2 linked regions of the Oryctolagus cuniculus genome follow. The protein of the gene in region 2 interacts with the protein of the main gene of each other region in a pairwise test. Links are inferred from orthologs where the notes say so. Each region holds a gene or a part of one and is shown on either strand. Other genes may lie near its edges.

What was found. The genes of interacting proteins can lie anywhere in the genome.
Region 1: the proteins of LNX1 (region 2) and MEMO1 interact in binary tests that used the Homo sapiens proteins (3 or more experiments, as listed by UniProt). The two-hybrid records come from large-scale screens. The link is inferred for Oryctolagus cuniculus from reciprocal best matches to the Homo sapiens genes LNX1 and MEMO1.

The regions. Positions count from the first base shown.
Region 1 is NC_091433.1:170,924,701-170,935,085, forward strand, and holds part of MEMO1 (protein MEMO1), read left to right. Parts: intron 1-5,789; coding exon 5,790-5,932; intron 5,933-10,385. UniProt on the Homo sapiens protein: May control cell migration by relaying extracellular chemotactic signals to the microtubule cytoskeleton. Mediator of ERBB2 signaling.
Region 2 is NC_091439.1:110,426,839-110,437,223, forward strand, and holds the end of LNX1 (E3 ubiquitin-protein ligase LNX), read left to right. Parts: intron 1-6,362; coding exon 6,363-6,521; intron 6,522-6,898; coding exon 6,899-7,034; 3' UTR 7,035-7,464; downstream 7,465-10,385. Other genes in the region: FIP1L1 (pre-mRNA 3'-end-processing factor FIP1), read right to left, coding at 8,716-8,863, 9,573-9,710.

The sequences.
Region 1 (10,385 bases), on a different chromosome or scaffold from region 2:
TTGTCTATGCTTGCTCTCTCTCTCCAGTTAGTTTTGAATGATTGTTTGCAGAGACTGTATTGAATGGAGAAGCTAAAATGCTTACTTTTATAGACCCTTTCAAATGGTGTTTGCTGACCTTCTTTCTTGAAGTGTTAACAGTTTTAGATCCTACAGTTCTAGGATCCAGTTTGAGTTAATTTTCGCTTGTGATATGAGGCAAAGGTTTCCATTCTTCATCATCATCATCATCTTTTTTTTGTTGTTTACATACGGGGTTTCATTTGGCCCAGTATCATTTACTGAAAAGACTGTCCTGTATGTAATGAGTCATTTTCTTCTTACTGCCTTCCATATTTTTCTTCTTGTTTGCGATCATCAGCTGTTTTATTAGTTTATCTAGGTATGGTTCTCTTTGTGATTTTACTGCTTTGGGTTTGTTGAATTTCTTGGAACTGTAGATTGTTTTTCATGAGATATTTGAGCAATTATTTCTAATTCTTTTTGTTTTTAAAAAATTTATTTTATTTGAAAGGTGGAGTTATATCCAGAGAGAGAGAGACTGATCTTCCACATGCTGCTTTGCTCCCCAAAAGGCTGCAACAGCCAGGGCTGGGCTGGACCAAACCAGAGCCAGAAGCTTCTTCCGGGTCTCCCATGTGGGTGTAGGGACCCAAGCACTTGGACTGTGTTCTGCTACTTTCCCAGGCACATTATCAGGGAGCTGGATTGGAAGTGGAGCATCCTGGAATTGAAGCCAGTGTTTCAGGCAGTAGCTTATCCTGTTACACAACAGCTGGGGCTCCTGTTTCTTCTATTTTTACTGTCCCCTTTCTGAGACTTCTATTGCAGTCATACTAGTATGCTCAGTGTTGGCTACAATTCTCTGATTCTGTGTTTTTCAATATTTTTCTGTTCTTCTGATTGGATAATTTAATTTTGCAGATTTTTATCAGATTTGTGCTTTAGACCATCTAGTGAGTTTTTTATTTTAGTTATAGCACTTTTCAACTCTAAAATTATCACTTGATTATTTTTAATGGCCATCACCTGCTACCTCCCAGGGTACACATTAGCAGAAAGTTGGAGCCAGAACTCATACCCAGGCACCCTGATTGAGATTTGGGTTTCCCAAGTGGTAGCTTTACAACTGTGCTTCTACATCTGCCCCTCTTATTTTTATGTTTTGAACTCAGCTTTCAAGGGTTCACACTATTGTTACATAGGTTAGTGCTTAGCTAACGACTTCTTTTTTTTTTATTTTTTTATTTTTATTTTTTTTTATTTTAAAAGTCAGAGTACACAGAGAGAGAGAGGTCTTCCCTCCGGTGGTTCACTCCCCAATTGGCTGCAATGGCCAGAGCTGCACTGATCCGAAATGAGGAGCAAGGAGCTTCCTCCGGGTCTCCCACATGGGTGCAGGGCCCAGGGACTTGGGCCATCTTCTGCTGCTTTCCCAGGCCATAGCAGAGAGCTGGATTGGAAGTGGAGCAGCTGGGTCTTGAACCGGTGTCCATATGGGTTGCTGGCACTTCATGCCAGGGTGTTAACCTGCTGCGCCACAGCGCTGGCCCAAACTAATGACTTCTTGAAGGCTATACCTCAACCCTTTGAGCCAGTAAGGCATTCACCCTCTGTTGGGGGTTCTGTATGCTTCAGGAGCACATTCAAAATTCAGTCCATTTTCATGTTCACCTCTTTTACTTTCCATTGGATTGTTTTAGGTGCCCCTGTGTATACACATGGGTTTTCTCAGCCAAGCTTATGTGGAGAGCTTGCTCTCTATCAGGTTTCCAGTGTCTACTCTCAGCCCCCCAAATAGCTGGCATTTTGCCGAGTTTAGGTCTCTCTTGCAGATGTGTGTGGCTTTGTATTCAGCCAGAGTTGTGTGGAAGGCATAGGACCTTGCCTCAGTATCTGTCAGAATTATCAAGGCCCTATGTGGCTCTCCTGTTTGCAGAATCTGACTGTTAAATTTCTATCTAGTCCTCAGGTTTGCCACCTCAGCTGGCACAGCAATCACAGGCTAAGAGGGCTGCAGGCTTTTTTGTTTCCCATTGAGTATGAACTTTTTTCTCTGCTTGGCATCAGAGTAGTCCCCTTTGACCTTGAAACTGCTGGTTTTCACAGCCAACCTCACCGTGATGGAACTTCCTTGTCAATGGAATTGGGGTTGTGGGGGATGGGTGCAGTTCCTGGCAGGATATGAGATTTCTATGGCTCTTATCAAGAAGTTTTGTTGGCTGGCACTGCGGCTCACTTGGCTAATCCTCCGCCTGTGGTGCAGGTACCCTGGGTTCTAGTCCCGGTTGGGGCGCCGGATTCTGTCCCTGTTGCCCCTCTTCCAATCCAGCTCTCTGCTGTGGCCTGGGAGTAAGTACAGTGGAGGATGGCCCAAGTGCTGGGGCCCTGCACCCACATGGGAGACCAGGAGGAAGCACCTGGCTCCTGGCTTCCGTTCGCCGGCTGTAGCGGCCATTTGGGAGGGTGAACCAACAGAGAAGGAAGACCCCCCCCCCCACGCCTGTCCAAAAAAAAAAAAAAAAAAAAAAAAAAAAGAAGTTTTGCTATTTTTCATTAAAAATCTCATCTTAAAAGTGGTTTGTTGTTGTTTTTTTTTTGTTGTTTGTTTGTTTTTTTTTTTTTTTTGCCTTTGGTTGGTTTCCAGACTATAGAAATGGTTGTTTTGGATGGTTTTATCCAATTTCGCAAATTTTTTTTGAGGATAAGATTTTTTTTTTTTTTTGAAATGTCATCCGTGCAGCTCTAACAAATACTGTGGCTTTGGCTTTTAATTCTTTCTTTTTAAAGTCTTATTTATTTATTTATTTATTTAAGGTGGAGTGGAAAAAGGGAGAGATAACTTCTAACTGTTGGTTTACTCCCTGAATACCTGTGACAGACAGGGCTGGGCCAGGTTGAAGTTAGGAACTGGGAACTCTCTCTGGGTTTACTACATGATTTACAGGAACTCAAGTACTTGAGCCATTGCCTGCTGCCTCCGGCTCCAGGAAGCTGGATCAGAAGTGGAGGCATTGTGATATGGGATGTAGGTGCCCCAGGCAGCCACTTAACTGTTGTGCCACAGCACCTGCCCTGGGGTTGAGATTTTGTACTCCCTCAGTGGAAGTCCAAATAGAGAACTTGGATTTTAAACCCTAGGATTAGTATTTTTCACAGTCCAGTGCTCTTTACTCTAATCCATACTTCCTTGTAGGGATAGTTAACTGATCTGATTTTCTTGTTTGTTTGTTTTAAATATTGTCAACTTTTTTAAGATTTTTTTTTTTATTTGAGAGGTAGAGTTACAGAGAGAAAGAGGAAGAGACAGAGAGAGGCCTTCCATCCTCTGGTTCACCCCTTAAAAGGCTGCAATCTCTGGAGCTAGGCTAATCTGAAGCCAGGAGCCAGGAGCCAGGAGTTTCTGCCCGATCTCCCATGTGGGTGCAGGGGCCCAAGGACTTGGGCCATCTTCCACTGTTTCCCAGGCCATAAGCAGAGAGCTGGATTGGAAGAGCAAGAGCTGGGACATGAACCCCAGCCCAAATGGGATGCTGGCACTGCAGGTGGAGGCTTAGTCTACTATGCCACAGTGTCGGCCTCTCATTTTTTGTTGTTATTGTTGTTGTTTCTTGAAGAGATGACAGAGGGCTAGATGGATGAGTCTTGGTTCAAGTGTTAGGTTCCCACAAAGGGTAAGACTTTTAATTCTGAATAGGTATATTTGCAAACTCAAATTGAGATGATTTGAAAGATTTGGTGGCTCTTTGGAGAGTAGATGCGTTGTTTCTTCAGAATAAGCCAACTGTTTTTGAGTGTGCTTTTCCTATGATTTTCCTTGTTTCATAATGTTGAAATGTGCAGGTACCAGATTCATGGAAAAATGGAATTAAAAGATAAATTTATTTTGTTCCAAAAATTTTTGAAATCCATCCATCCATAATCGTTTCATGATATTTTTGGTGAACTTTTTGAAGATCCCCTTCATAAATACTGTAATTAGGATCATTTTACAGATAAAGAAATCAGTTCTCAGGTTAGGATCTTAACCATCTGTTAGCATTAGTATGAGGATGATATTTTAACCTGTTTCTTCTGGCTTCTCTTTGTTCTTTGTACTCCATATAATTGTTTCTCTATCATATCATAATTACTTGTAGAATCTTGATGATATAAATGTTTATTTTTATAGTAGTACTTGAGGTTAGACTAATTCAAAACAATCTTCCTGCATTTTTACTAAGGGCTGAAATTCTTTTCTTTCCATTGATACTCACAGTTAATCGGGAGCCCCTGTTTATTTAGGTAGTTTTAGCAAACTGGTAAGAGTCAGAAGAAAAGATATCCCCATGGCAGCTTCCTCTGCCAGCTTCCTTTTTTTTTCTTACTCCATAGATGCAGATTCTGCCCAAGAAGCCCCTGCATTGCAGAGGGACTGGAGATCTGTATGATCTGTTTATTTCGCAATTGACAAGGGTAAGGGGGTTTTTTTGGGGGCGGCGCTTGGGTGCCCTGACTTTAGCTTTATGCAGCTGGGCTAACATTTATTTTGGGATTACTTAAACTTAGTATTTTAAAAAACCCTTTTATGAATTCTCTTTGCCCTACATTAGTTAAGTGCCAGATTATAATGTTAAAAAGCATTTATTATAATGGTGGTTTTTTTTTTGTTTGTTTTTAAAGTCCTGTTCAGAAAAAGATAAAGATGATTATGTTCTAAAATTGCAAATCTGGGAACATTAGATTATTAATAATATTGAATATATGAGGGTACTAAAAAAGTTTGTGCAAAAATAGTATTAAAAGATAAGTTTATGTTGGTGCCAAGGAATTGAAATCCATGAGTAATTTTTTTATCTTACACATTTTCCCTGAACATTTTGAAGACCCTATATATTGCACAGATTTCAAAATTTTTTGTACCAAAATAAACTTGTCTTTTAATTCCATTTCCACGAAGTTTTTGAAGTACCTTGGTATGTAAGTTTAGTATCACATAAATAAAAATTTAAGAAAAAGATTTTGGATATATGGCTGTATCTATAACATGTCATAGTTATTCTTTATTAAATCACTTTGTTCCTGTTCCATAAATCTATCAATTTAGAGTGAAAAAGGACTTGTGGTTATGCTATAAACATTGTGGGTGGCCAGGGTGTCTTTTCCTTGCTGCTAGAAATTAATACTTCCTGAATTCTTTGTCTATCCTAGATTTCAATGACATTTGAGTTATATCTTCAGCCTATGTTATATCTTGATCCTTAGGCTAAGTGTACAAGTGTAGTTGGTCAGTCTTATTGAAGCAAAGGTAAAGTTTTGTGGGTTTCATTTGGCAGGCTTACAGAACAAATGCCAGAAATGTTGGCATTTATGATGAAAGGATTAAAATAGATGAGGAAGACTTTAATGCTTTTAAGATCCTGGAAGGATTGGGCAGATGATGGTAGCGTTTGGTGGATAGTTGACGAGACTTGAATTGGTGATGGTCTGATGGACTTTTTATTTTTGAAGGTACTATTATACTTGATAGTCACATAACTTTTTTTTATCTAAAGAAATAGTGTACATTTCTGTAATTTTCTTCAGTATTTTTAGTATTCTGTACATCTCATATTTTAAAGTTGTGTTCTTTAAACATTTAATTTATAGTTTTTTAAAAAAATTCAACAGTAATATATGTTATTCTTACCACTATTAATAAATATTCCACTTTCTAGTGCTAAGATTTTTGCAAAGCTGTTTCTATTCTTAAACATCCAGAATGACTGTTTTGCCTTTTTTTTTTTTTTTTTTTTTCTGTTTTCTTTAAGCCATAAGGATGAGTTTACCATTATTCCTGTACTGGTTGGAGCTCTGAGTGAGTCAAAAGAACAGGAATTCGGAAAACTCTTCAGTAAATATCTAGCGGATCCTAGTAATCTCTTTGTGGTTTCTTCTGATTTCTGCCATTGGGGTAAGTTCTAGACTTTAATGTATCATGGTAGATTATATACTTGTGCTTTAAGGTATCTTTTCATTCTAAACGCTGATTGTCAGTCTTTATCACTTTCCTTGGAAAGTTTACTTTTAGCAGCAGTGTTTAGAAGTGAATGAAAAAGTCTTTTGATCATTAAAAAGGATCAGATTATAATAGTGGATTATGGATACATTTCCAAAGGCGACTGGTATAATTGGATTCACACTGTGAGGGTATCCTTGCTTAGAACTGTTCTTAGTGGGAGTTAAGACCTTTTAACCCCATTTTCAGGTAGGTATGTGTGGTAGGTCCTCTGAAGGTAGTTTTGGTGGATGAAACAAATGCTCTTCTTTAGAATGCAGAAGAGCACTGTGTGCTATGCCAGTCCTTTTCTGCTTTTCCTTTTTTGTAATTAGTCTTTCTTTCTTTCTTTTTTTCCTTCGGTGCTTATTTTTTGCTCACAATTGCCATCAGTTTAGAGCTACCCTCCAAAGATTGTAACACGTTGGCTATTAGCACTGTGGTCTTCATTGGTAATGCTTTATAAGGGTAAGGACTCTTAAGTGATTTTTGTGATTATTGTGAATTGAGAGAGTAAGGACGCTTCACAGTGAATAAATCAAGAAGGAAGTGAGAAATTTTTGGATGACTTTGTCAGTAGATTTTATTTTAGCTTTCTTTGGATAAATTTTGCTCTCATTTATCTATTAATGTCCTAGAATATTTCTGAGTTCTGTTCCTCTTAAGACGCCTCTTTGACCCGTTTATTCCTTGGTTCATTGGTTCAAGGATGCCAACATCTGTTTAGTCATCACTTATTTCTTTGATTATTGTAGGAAACATAGGACGTCAGACCATCAGTTCCAAGATAGAATGCTAGGATGGCCAAAATAACATCCTCAGTATTGGGAGCCTTGCCTTTTTTAATGTATTTTACGCATTGATTGCCTGAATTGATTTCAACATTTGTCTGGCTACTTTATGGTAGCTTCTTCCTTCTTCTCCCTTTGAATGCTTCTTAGTGTTGAGATATCAGTTCAAGAGGACTTTAGTCCGTAATGATATACGTAAAGCTTTTGTAAGGTACTGATCCTCAAAAAGGATTAATTCACCTCCTAGGCAGTTTATGAAAATACTTCAAAGACACTTTTGATTTTCACAGCAGGGATGGGATTTGGAAAGTGGCAATACTACTGATGTCTAGGGAAACTAGACTAGAGTCTAGGGAAACTGCTAACTATACATCCTGCAATGCACAGGACTACCCTCAACATCAAAGACTTACTTGGCCCAAAATGTCATTAGTGCTGAGGGCAGGAAACCTAGATTTAGGATATGCAGGTGGCTGTTTTTCCTTCCTCAACTCCAGAGGAGCTCTCAGGATTTCTTAAGAACAAATTCTGTTGGTTAGTTGATGTGCTGCCTTTGGCAGAAAGTATTTTTTTATCTAGTCTATTACTTAAATATGAAGGCTGGGGAGATTCCTAAGAATTTCTGGATTCTGGAGAATTCAGGAGAATTTTGAAATTTAATAGTAGTTGTTTTTAAAAGTTGAGGAATATCATTGCTGAAAAAAGGGGCTGGTTTTCTTAGTGTTGTGAATTTGTGTTGGCAAAAAAGCATGTTCATGTCTTTTGGAGATTAAAATTCTTTAAGCAAGTGCCCCATCCTCAATTTTTAAGGCTCTTGTGAATCATTTGATGTAAGTAATTTGTTTCCTCTGATAATTGTTCTTCAGAATCTGAGTGCTTTCTCTAGGTTGGCAACATGTTTTGACTGTAACATAAATTCACATAAAACAACTGTAGGTGCCTTAATATTGTTATTTTCTGTGGAATCGTCCTTTTTATTTGACTAAAAAGTCTAAAGTAAGCAGTTCCCTAGTACCTACTGTATATAACTACAGTGGTTGAGAGATAAAGATTTTGTTTTATATTCTACCTAAAGCCTCAGAAAATTATTTAGGCTGTTTTGTCTTTAGATTTCTTGCAAATTTTAGTATTTAAATTGTAAGATAGGATTTCCACTTGATAATTAAGGAAAAGAGCTCAAAATTTCCAAATGTTGATACATGATATAATACTCATAGATTAAAATCTGTTTATATAAGGGCACTTCAAAAAGTTTGTAGAGAACTGTAATTAAGTTAAGTTTACTTTTTTGGAGTAGAAAATTTTGAAATACATACTTATGCAGGATCATTAAAAAGTTCATTATGAACAAAAACTGCATTTTTAAAATATTTATTTATTTGAAGGCAAGGTTACAGAGAGAGAGAGATAGAGAGAGATCGATATTCCATCTGCTGGTTTACTCCCCAAATGGCCACAGTGTCTGAGGCTAGGCCAGGCTGAATCCCAGAGCCTCTTCCAGGTCTCCTCCTGGGCCCAGGCTCTTGGGCCATCCTGCTGCTTTCCTTGGAGCATCAGCAGACAGCTGGATCAGAAGTAGAGCAGCCAGGACTTAAACTGGCACCCTGTAAGGTAGCCTGTTAAGCATTAGAGGCAACTGCTTAGCCTGGTGTGCCACAATGCTGGCCTCAGTACATGGGTTTTAAATTTCTTTTGCCCCAAAATAAATTTATGTTTCAGTTCAATTTTTCTACAACCTGGTGGTTACTTAGTGTTACTTAATGGCCTGTTACTTATAGAACATTTCCAAGTATTCACTTTTTGGTATCACCATCATTAACAATACTCACAGTTACGGAAAGCACCGTGCTACTTCTTTCTCACTGACAAATTTGATGGAGGTATGGGAGTAAGTGTAAAGTATGAGTAACGTGGATTGATTAAATTGATAGTCTCCTTACAATCCTAGAAATTATCATTTTTGTAAATTCAGGTTTATTTTCTCTTTTGTATATGTGTTGAAGTAATAATGAATCATTGGCTAGTTATAGGTGAAGCTGTTTTTTACCTAGGTCTCATGTTTCTCAAATTTGTATTGTAGTGTCATTGGATGTTCTTTCTGAATGAATAAAGAGTGCTATATTGACTGGCGCCACGGCTCAATAGGCTAATCCTTCCCGCCTGCGGCACCGGCACACCGGGTTCTAGTCCTGGTCGGGGCGCCGGATTCTGTTCTGGTTGCCCCTCTTCCAGGCCAGCTCTCTGCTGTGGCCCGGGAGTGCAATGGAGGATGGCCCAAGTCCTTGGGCCCTGCACCCCATGGGAGACCAGGAGAAGCACCTGGCTCCTGGCTTTGGATCAGCGCAGTGCGCTGGCCGCAGCAGCCATTGGAGGTGAACCAACAGCAAAAGGAAGACCTTTCTCTCTGTCTCTCTCTCTCACTGTCCACTCTGCCTGTCAAAAAAAAAAAAAAAAAAAAAAAAAAAAAAAAAAAGTGCTATATTACCATCTCAAAAATTTGGTGTTTTCTTTTGAAGATCAGTGACTTTTTCCTTCCTCTCCTCTTCTCTTCTCTTCTCTTCTCTTCTCTTCTCTTCTCTTCTCTTCTCTTCTCTTCTCTTCTCTTCTCTTCTCTTCTCTTCTCTTCTCTTCTCTTCTCTTCTCTTTTTTAAGGTTTATTTATTTATTTGAAAGGCAGAGTTACAGAGAGGTAGAGGCAGAGTCTTCTATCTACTGGTTCACTCCCCAAATGGCTGCAATGGCCATAAATGCACTGATCTGAAGCCAGGAGCCAGGAACTTCATCAGGGTCTCCCATGCGGGTTCAGAGGCCCAAGCACTTGGGCCATCTTCTACTGCTCTCCCAGGTAATAGCAGAGAGCTGGGTTGGAAGTGGAACAGCCCAGTCTTGCAATGGCACCCATATGGGATGCTGGCACTGCAGGTGGCGGCTTTACCCACTAAGCCACAGCGCCGGCCCCTCCTTCTTTCTTTTAAATTAGACAGTGTGCATTGATTTTTAGTATATAAAACCAGTTATAATGGATGAATCCCAAGTAATTTCACAGGAAGGATACACTTCCTTAAGAATAAAAAGACTAAAAAATTCAATGCGTTTGACTCTTAACACATGTCACATTTCTAAATATATGATTTAAAAAAGAAATCACTAAATTGATGACATTGCAATTTGACAGATTACACAGATATACACAATGAAAATTTCCTTGTTTTTATTCCATAAAATTAGATACTGGCATTGATTATAGTTTTCATTTCTAGTTATTGGTTCTTAAAAATAAAGTATAAAACTAATAATAGGGAGTTCTTTATGATAATCGGACATATTTTCCCTTGATCTTATTTATTAGTGTCCATTGTAAAAATGATATTTTAAAGTGTATTTTACTTTAAAGATGTTTTTCTTTCAGATCCTATGTAGCTTTTATTTAGACTGGTAAAGGAACAATTGAGAGATAAAACTAGGAGGATTATAATACTCTCTAGATTTTTGGGGGGGTTAAGGAGAGGGTGGGGGTAAGTGTGAGACAAGCTAAGGGAGAGACAGGAACCTAGATTCTATTATCTTCTAGAATTTGA
Region 2 (10,385 bases):
GGCCATTGGAGGGTGAACCAACGGCAAAGGAAGACCTTTCTCTCTCTCTCTCTCACTGTCCACTCTGTCAAAAAATTTTTAAAAAATAAAATTAAAAAAAAAAATTGAAGGGACTGTCCTTGCTGCAGGGACTGATTTTAGCCCCTTTGTCAAGTAGATGCATAGGTTGGTTTCTGGAGCTTCTACTCTGTTCCATTAGTCTACCTGTCTATTTTGTGCCAGTACCAGGCTCTTTTCCTTATAACTGCCCTGTAGTATATCTTGAAATATGGTATTGTGTTGGCTCTAGCTTTGTTTTTATTGTTTAATATTACTTTAGCTATTCAGGGTCTCTTGTGTTTCCACATGAGTTTTAGCATAATTTTTTCTAGATCTGAGAAGCACATTGGTGATATTTGATTGGGATTGTATTGAATCTATAAGTTGCTTTTGGTGATATTCTTCTACTTCATGAACATGGAAGATTTTTCCATTTTTGTGTCTTTTATTTCTTTCTTTAATATTTGGTGATTCTCAGCATAGAGAACTTTCACCTCCTTGGTTAAATTTATTCTAAAATATTTAAATTCTTTGTAGCTGTTTTGAATGGGATTGACCTTAGAAGTTCTTTCTCAGCCATGGCATTGTCTGTATATACAAAGGCTACTGATTTTTGTGTGTGAATCTTATATTCTGCAACTTTGTCAAACTCTTTTATAAGAGTTCTAACATTCTCTTCGTGGGGTCTGTAGTTCCCCTATATAGACATGTCATCTGCAGACAATGAAAATTTTACTTCCTCCTTTCCCATTTGTATCCCTTTGATTCATTTTTCTTGCCTAATCGCTCTGGCTAAAACTTCCAGGACCGTATTGAATAGCAATAGTGAAAGTGAGCATCCTTGTCTGGTTCTGGATCTTAGTGGAAAGGCTTCCGAACTTCCCCCATTCAATATGATGCTGTCTTTGGGTTAGTCATAAATTGCCCTGATCATGTTGAGGAATGTTCCCTCTATACCCAATTTGCTTAAGGTTTTTATCACAAAAGATGCTGTATTTTATCAAATGCTTTTTCTGCATTAAGATAATCATATAGTTTTTATTCTTTGTTAATGTGATGTATCACATTGATTGATTTGCAAATGTTGAACCATCCTTGCTTACCAGGGTTAAATCCCACTTGGTCTGGGTGAATATTTTTGGTGTGTTGTTGGGTTTAATTAGCTAGTATTTTGTGGGGGATATTTGCATCTGTGTTCATCAGTGATATTGGTCTATAGTTCTCTTTCTTTCTTGTATCTTTTTCTGCTTTTGGAATTAGGGTGATGCTAGCCTCATACAAGTTTGGGAGGATTCCCTCCCTGTCAATTGTTCTGGATAGCTTAAGAATTACATTAGTTCTTCTTTAAAATCTGGTAGAATTCATCAGTAAAGCCATCTGGTCCTGGGCTTTTCTTTGTTGGGAGGGTCTCTATCACTGATTCAATCTCTTAGTTAATGATCTGTTTAGGTTTTCTATGTCTTCATGATTCAGTTTTGGTAGACTGTATACGTCCAGGAATCTATCCATTTCTTCTAGGTTTTCCAATTTGTTGGTATATAGCCATTTATAATAATTCCTGAGCATTCTTTTAATTTCTGTGGTATCCATTGTTACATCCTCATTTTCATCTCTGATTTTTTTTTGGGGTCTCTTAGTTGGGCCAATGGTGTATTCATTTGGTTTATTTTTTCAAAATGACAGCTCTTCATTTCACTGATCTATTGAAAATTTTTTTTGTTTCAATGTTTATTCTCTAATTTTATTTATTTTCTCCTACTAAATTTGGGTTTGATGTTGTCTTCCTAGGTCCTTGAGACTCATTGATAGCTAATTTATTTGATGCCTTTACAATTTCTTGATGTAGGCACCAATTGCTATAAACTTCTCTCAACACTGCTTTTGCTGTTTCCCATAAGTTCTGATATGTTGTATTGTCATCTTCATTGATTTCCAGGAATATTTTGATTTCCTTTTTATTTATTCTGTGAACCATTGTTCATTCAGGAGCATGTTGTTCAAGCTGCATGTGTTTGCATATTTTCTAGAGATTCTTAAGTTATTAATTTCCAGCTTCATTCCACTGTTATCAGAAAAGATGCATGGTATGATTTTGAGTTTTTGAATTTGCTATCACTTGCTTTATGGGCTAGCATGTGGTCTACCCTAGAGAAAGTTCCAGGCACTGATAAAAAGAATATGTATTCTTCAACTGTGCGAAGAAACATACTGTAGCTATCATTTAGATCCAGTTGGTACATAGTATAGATTAGCTCTGTTTTTCCTTTGTTGATTTTCTATCTAGTTGATCAGTCCATTGATTAAAGGGGGCTATTAAAGTCCCCCATTATTATTGGAGTCTATGTTTCCCTTTAGATCCATTAACATCTGTTTTAAATAGCCAAGTACTCTGGTATTGGGTGCACAGACATTATAGACACATATTCCCGTTGAACTGATCCCTTAATCATTACATAATGCCCTTGTCTCTTTTGATGATTTTTGTGTTAAAGTCCATTTTGTCTGATATTAGGATGGCTACCCCAGCTCTTTTTTGCTTTCCATCGGCATGGACTCTTTTTCCATCCTTTCACTTTCAGTCTGCATGTATCTTTGTTGGTGAAGTATGTTTCAGCCAGTCTGTATCCTTTTTTAAAAAAGTTATTTTTCAATTTATCAGTGATCTTTATTTTTTAAAAAGATTTATTTGAAAGTCAGAGGCAGAGACAGGGAGGGAGGGAGGGAGAAATCTTCCATCTACTGGTTCACTCCCAAATGGCCACAATGGCCAGAGCTGAGCTGATCTGAAGCCAGGAGACAGGAACTTCCTCCAGGTCTCCCACAAGAGTGCAGGGGCCCAGCACTTGGGCCATCTTCTACTGCTTTCCCAGGCCATAGCTGGGAGCTCAATCAAAAGTGGAGCAGCTGGGGCTCGAACCAGTGCCCATCTGGGATGCCAGCACTGCAGGCAGTGGCTTTACTTGCTACCCCAAAGTGGTGGCTCCAGGTCCCAATATTATATTAAAGACTTTATATGATGGGGCTGGCACTGTGGCACAGCGGGTACCCTTACAATCCAACTTCCTGCTATGGCCTGGGAAAGCAGTAGATGGCCCAGTTCCTTGGACCCCTGCACCTGTGTGGGAGACCTGGAAGAAGCTCCTGACTCCAGATCAGCTCAGCTCCAGCCACTGCAGCCAATTGGGGGGTGAACCAGCAGATGAAAGACCCCTCTCTCTCTCTCCCTCTCCTTCTCTCTCTGTGTAACTCTTTCAAATAAATAAATCTTTAAAATTAAAAAAAGACTATGACAAACCCATAGCAAACATTATACAATGGGGGAAAACTGGAAGTGTTTCCTAAGATCTAGAAAAGGCAAAGCTGTCTACTCTCTTATAGTACTGGAAGTTTTTCCCAGAGCAATTAGGTAAGGGAAAGAGGGCCTGCACATAGGAAGGGAGAAGTTGAATTATCTGTTTGCAGATGATATGATTCTACATGCAAAAAACCCTAGACTACCAAGACTATTAGAGTTCACAAATTCACTAAAGAAAAAATACACATAAAAAAACAGAACCAATAATGAACTTGCTAAGAAATTATACACACAGCCCCATTCACAGTAGCCACACACACACACCACAGAATGAATTTACCAGGACGTGAAAAACCTCTACAATGAAAATTATAAAGCACTAATTTTAGAAATTGAAAAAGGCACAAGAAAATAAAATAAAAAAAAAAACCTCCTTTGTTCATGGGTTGGAAAAAGTGTTTAAAATGTCGGTTATGCAAAGCAATTTTACAGATAAAATGCAATCCTCACTCTTGCAGTAGCACTCCTCATAGAAAAAAAACCCTATAATTCTCTCAGAAAAACAATAGACTGAAGAGCCAAGGCAAGCTTCAGCAGCAACACTGGAAGCATTACGATGCCTGATTTCAAGACAGATGACAGAGCTACAGGAACCAGAGAGCACGGTACTGGCGTGAGAACACACACACAAATGGGACAGAACAAACGACAGCCTCTGCTATTAATGGTGCTGGGACAACTGGATATCCACATGCAGAGAGCTGAAACTTGACACATGCACACAACCCACCTCTCAATCACTATAAAAATCAACTCAAAATGGACCAAAGAACTGAAAGTATTAAGTTACTGGAAGAAAACATGGTGAAAGTATTTCAAGACTACAATATAAGCAATGCTTTTGGAGGTAAAATTCCAAATGCTCGGGCAAAATTAAGGCAAAGACAGACAAGTGGGATTCCATCAAACGAGGAAGCTCTGCGCAGCAAAGGAAACAATCAGTGTTGTGAGGACACAACCGACAGAATGACAAAGAATATTTGCAAACTCTTCATCTGACAAAGGAGTAATATCCAGAATACGTAAGGAACAAAAAACTTAACAAAAAAAGTGCAATTTAAAAATAGGCAAAGGATCTAAAGACAGTTCTCAAAAAAGTAAACACAGATGGCCCACAAATAGAGGAAAAAGTGCATGGTCATTAGCAGGGAAATGCACATCCTAACAATGAGGTGTCGTATCGCCCCAGCTAGAACAGCTATGAATGCTAGCAGTATGCAGACGAGAGGGAACTGGGACACACTGCTGCAAACTCGCAATCTTCAAGCAGTGCAGGAGGCTCCAGCCATCTGGCTGCTGACATGTAGCTGAAGACAATGACATCGGCACGTGAGATACTGCACTCCCACGCTGACTGCAGCACTATTCACAACAGCAGACACGAATCAACCTCGCTGCCCAGAGACGGGTGAATGGTTTAGAAAATGCATGGTGTATGCACAATGGAGTATTATTCAGCCACAAAAAGGGGAAGTTGTGTCATCTGCAGAAAAACGCACAGAACCAGGGGCTACTAAGTGAAGTACCCCATGTCCTCCCCAACACGTAGAAGCTAAGCGGAGGAGTTGACCCGGATGTAAGGTCATGGTTCCGAGGCTGTGACCTGGGAAGGTCGGTGACAGGTAGCAGAACAGTGACGGAGGATGCAGTTCTGGTGTTGCTCAGGAGCACGACTGCAGGGACCAGGAACTACGAGGAAGGAGGCCCAGAGGGAGCAATGAGGGTATGTCACAAGGGTGACAAACAGGGACAGTTTCAGGTCCTACTCCATGAACCTGTTGTGTCTGCAGACTAGGAGCATGACCTGGGAAAGGCATCTTCTAATGACTTTCCAATCCCAGACGCTGGGCACAGGGTCTCCCACAGGGAATGTCATTGCCTTGGTGTCGGGGGCTAGGCACGGACCTGCTCCGTGCACAAGCACTCAGTAAGCTATTAAGTACAACATGGTATCTATCCCACACACCACGGCTTCTACAGGCTGAAGTCATCAACTGACATCAAAGTTTCTTGTGAAATAGCAGGTATTTGACAGTAAGTCGTTTTCTCATTTAATGACATTCATGTTTTTCAGCTATCGAATTATTATAAATGATATGTAGGACAACAGATACAAAGCACTACATTTTAAAGGTATTCATTAAACCTCAGAGGTGGTTTTACTTCAACTGAGTATTGGCAACGTCGTGAAAAAAGTCACATTACCCTGATTAGCAAGATCGGTAACAACTGTAACGAGCAACTTCACTTATTCACAAGAGACTTTTATTGGTTTTCAAAAAGCAATGTTATTTTAAGGTACAGTTTATAAACAGTAGTCATATCCTGATTTTTGCCAACATGAAAACGTGTTCCTCTCAGGAGTTCATGGACTACAGCACACATGTGGCAGACACAGGAGTCCTGGCGAGCAGGGAGCCAGTGACCAGGGAGAGTAGCAGAATGTGCCCAGCCTCCCTCCCTGGTTGGCTGAGGCCTCCACCCACCCACCCACCCACCCACCGCAGGGCTGTGCGCTCTCCTCCCATCCCTCCAGCAGCTGGTTTCTCAGCGTCTGCAGTTCCGCTTTCCTGAAGGTGCAATCCCACTCACATTCCGCCTGCACACTTCTCAGTCACCTACCAAACATGCAGAGCCCGATATGCACTAGAGCTTTCCGAAGGTCAAGTACACGCTAACAAAGTCATTCATTACACCTACATTTTCTTGATTTTAACGATTTGTTCGAAAGATTTCTGCCTTCATTAAAAATTTATACTCAGGTAAATAAAAATATGATGGTCATAATGTTTGCTGTAGCCAGCTGTAGCATAGAGGTTGCTGAGCTAGAAACACACTTGGGCGGGAGCTGTCCAGTGTTATTTAGCCTTAAGAAAATGCCAGCAGAAGGAATGGGATACAGGCACAATACTCCGTCTCCAGCCGTTACACTGAACTGTGCATATCCTCCAATTCTGTTCTATCCCAGGTACTTGTATCACTGCAAAGATGTCGCACTACGCAGAAACGCGGCAGGCAGCCTGGGCTTCTGCATCGTGGGAGGGTATGAAGAACACAGCGGAAACAAGCCTTTCTTTATCAAATCCGTGGTGGAAGGCACACCAGCGTACAACGATGGAAGGATCAGGTAATAAAGACAACTGCTGCACAGAGAGCTTACATTCAGGTCCTTTGCTTCAGACACACAATACTGGCCCCATCTGAAATAAGGGCTCTTCCTTTTGAGGGGAAGGGTGGGCAAGAAAATAAAACACTTGCACAGCATTTAACATAAAACACCCCGATGATCGATCGCACGTGCTCTCGGCCCTACACTGCAGGTCGCTCTACCTTGAGCACCCCTTTTAACACAAGCGGAATGACTAGCATGCTTAAAGAATCTAAGGGGGGGGGAGACCCTTAAGTAATCAAAACCAAACAAATCTAGCAGAAATGAGGCCACCAAAATCAATCTGCATAAACTTCAGCTAAGAAACCAAACATCCCTCCTGCTGCCTTGTTCAGGTGCGGTGACATTCTCCTCGCAGTCAACGGCAGGAGCACAGCAGGAATGACGCACGCCTGCTTGGCTCGAATGCTGAAGGAACTCAAAGGAAGAATCACCCTCACTCTGGTGTCCTGGCCTGGCACATTCTTGTAGCATCAATAACGGGTCAGAGAACATGACACACGGGCTAAGCTGGAACAATGTATTTATCTTGTCAATTTTTATAGTGAACGAAAACTTTGTGAAAATGTCAGAGAAGGCCTAATCTAATAAAGCCAATTGCACCTCAGAAAATAGGACTCTCAAAAAATAAAAACTACTACAGAATGGTCTGATCTAGGATGCAGCACTGCACTGTACTCCTTCATTTGTATTTTGTGCTCAATAAAACGCTCTCGAGCACCTGAAATGGTTTGTTAGGGCCCACCGAATTCAAATCATCAACTCAAATGCTGGTTCAGGCTGAGATCAGCAAAGGGTACGTTACGGGCATTTTTAATTTAAAGCAAGAGGATTTTGAAAAATGCATTCATTGCTAAAAACATTCAGCAAATGAGAAATAAATATTTTTCCACAAACCATAGCCGCCTTTTGTATGTGATGCTAATTCTAAGTTTCCTTCTGTCAGCACTATTTCAAAGAGCCGGCAATCTGCTCTTTCAAATACCAGGTCATCTGTTTATGTGACTGGAGAATCATCTCTGAGGGTTATCCCTGAAAGTGCTCACGGAATTATAAACTTGGGCTTTCATGGCTCAATAAGAATTGGCGTTCAGCTGTCCTCACAACGTAACTAGTAACTGTCAGGAACTGCACGTGCAGCTCCACCAATGAGCCTGGGAAAATGCACCAAGGAGGGCCACCCCAGCCGGCGTGAGGGGATCCAAGCTGGTCACAATGATCCGTGTTGGAACATGAGCCTGCTGGGAACCACACCAGAGCAAGTGGCTTCAGAGGCCACCCAAATGCCTTCCACCTGCGTAATTTACATATAAAACCGCCCATCCAGCTTCCCCATGAGCCCCAATCTAGCACAGTGAGATCCTGCCATCAAAAAGCCGGGGTGGGTGGCATTTAGCCTATTAGTGAAGACATCAGTTGGGACACACATGTCCCACAGTGGAGTACCTGGGTTCACTACCTGCCTCCTGCTCCTGGTTCCAACTTCCTGCTAACACTGGGAGGCAGCAGATGATGGCTCAACGGCTCAAGTAGTTGGGTTCCTGCTACCCCCATGGGAGACCTGAATCGAATTCCTGGTTCCCAGCTTCAGCTTGGTCCAGTCCAGGCTGTTGCAGGGATTAAATCAGCAGATGGGAGCTTGCTGTATCTGTCTCCCCCAACCCAAAAAACAAAAACCCAGACACAAAACAAAGCCGTGTAAAAGCAAACACGTGCATGAGTCGTTGACCGTGCGCAGCAGGAACAGGAATGCCACAGCAGTGAAGACAGACTCAAGAGGGGCCTCCTGATGCCTTCTGCAGTGCAGCCTCTGATGAGACTGCTGATTGCCAGGACGACCGTGGCCGAGGTGCGGCCTGACCTGTCTCGGACACTGTGCGTACCACAGGCACGGTGCTCCTGAACCCCTAACGTGATTCACTCGCAGTACTTCCCTAGATGTAAAGCACGGCTGCTATTCGATTTTTAAATACTACATGACAAGCATCTTTAACTTAACATGAAAAATCGACTTTTATTTTGGAAAAAAAGTTAACTTTTCATACTAACAGAACAAGATTAAAGGTGAATTTCTTAAACATTATCCAGAAAAATAACAAGATTTACAATATCTAGTTCCGGCACTGCTGCAGACACGAGGCCCCGCCCACGCCTACTCTGCGGGTGCCGCCTCGGTGCTCTCCTGCTCGGGGGCGGGCTCACTGCCGGCCTCCTTCCCTTCTTTGCTTCTTTTAGATTTTTTGTGTTTGTGCCTCCTGTGACTGTCTCCTTCTTCACTCTCATGGCGACGTCTACTGTTACTGAAAAACAAACAAACAAACAAAAAACAATGTACTGTTTAAAAACCCTTAAGTACACACTTTGTGATAAAAATCAGCCACTCTGATTCTCAACACAACACCTGGACTTCAAATAATCTAACCCATTCTTTTCTTGTCTCATAAAGACACGGAGGAACCACATCAGTTTGAATGTGACTCTGATGCAGAATCACATTCCAGGGCCACCTTACCAATACCACCTCAGAGTCCCAGCGCCGCGTTCTCTGTTGTACATGGCTAACTACAAACAGGGAACCGAAGCACTCCGTCAGCACAGAAGGCATTTTATATAAATAGGCCTTAGAATTTAGTGCTGGTTTTTTGTTGCTCATGTTGTTTTTGGAGACTGCAAGCCCCAAATTTTCTTTAACTGAACCAAACACTGCTATTTACTATTTACTACTAAAGACGGATTCATACGCCAAAATTTCCTCTCAATGAGATTATGTTGTAAGCAAATATCTCTCATACATGATTTTTTTCCTCCACATTACTTCTGGTTTTGGGACATTAAATGTAGTTTTGCTAGAGTTAAAATCTTTGTTGAAGCTTGCAAGGAACCACAGATTATTCTGAATCTTCCAAATAGAAACACATCCGTTCTATGGGCCATCTGTAAACATTTGCTCTCATGGCTAAAATCCAATCAGCTTCTCTCTCAGCCTCACGACTCGACTCAGGAGCAAACCTTCGAGAGGACTTGTGTCTGCTCTCCTCCTTCTCCCTGTGCCGTCTCTCTCTGTGCCGCTCCTCTTTCTCCCGACTCGCTCTGTGCCGCTCATACCCTCTCTCGGCATATTCTCTGTATCTGTATCGCTCTTCGTCACTGAAATTGGAATAGAAACAAGTTTCTTGACAACTGAACTGTAATTCTGAATAACTTCAAGCTTTCATAAAGATCCTGAAGTTCAAACCAGAAGCCTCCATATATCAGAACCTTGGAGAATAGATGGGAAATATTTCTTGAGTTAACAGTACACAAGGCTTGTTCCAAAATTAGTACTGGATAGAATATAAGAAAACAAAATATACAGTAAGAGCACATGATGTTAAATGACCAATTGTGTTCTGCGTTAGCACACTTGTCAGGGACAGAGCTTTTATATAACAATGCTTTTAAAAATGCTCTCGAGGGGAGGGCGCTGTGACGCAGCAAGCTGAGCCGTGACCTGCAATACCAGCATCCGCTCTACGTGCCAGTTTGTGTCCCGGCAGCTCCACGTCAGATCCGGCTCTCTGCTAATAACCTGGCAAAGCAGTGTAAGATGGCCCAAGTGCTAGGTCTCCCACGTGGGAGACCCAGCTCCAGGCTGCTGGCTTCAGCTTGGCCCAGGGCTTGCTGCTACAGCGACCTGGCAGTGAGCGCACCAGTGAATGAGATCTGTCTCTGCGTCTCCCTCTCACTCTTTCAAATAATTAAATAAATTTTAAAAAGAAAATTATTTTGAGAAACTCTCTGTGGGAGAGAAAAGGAAGCTGGAGTCAGGTGCTCTGATATGAG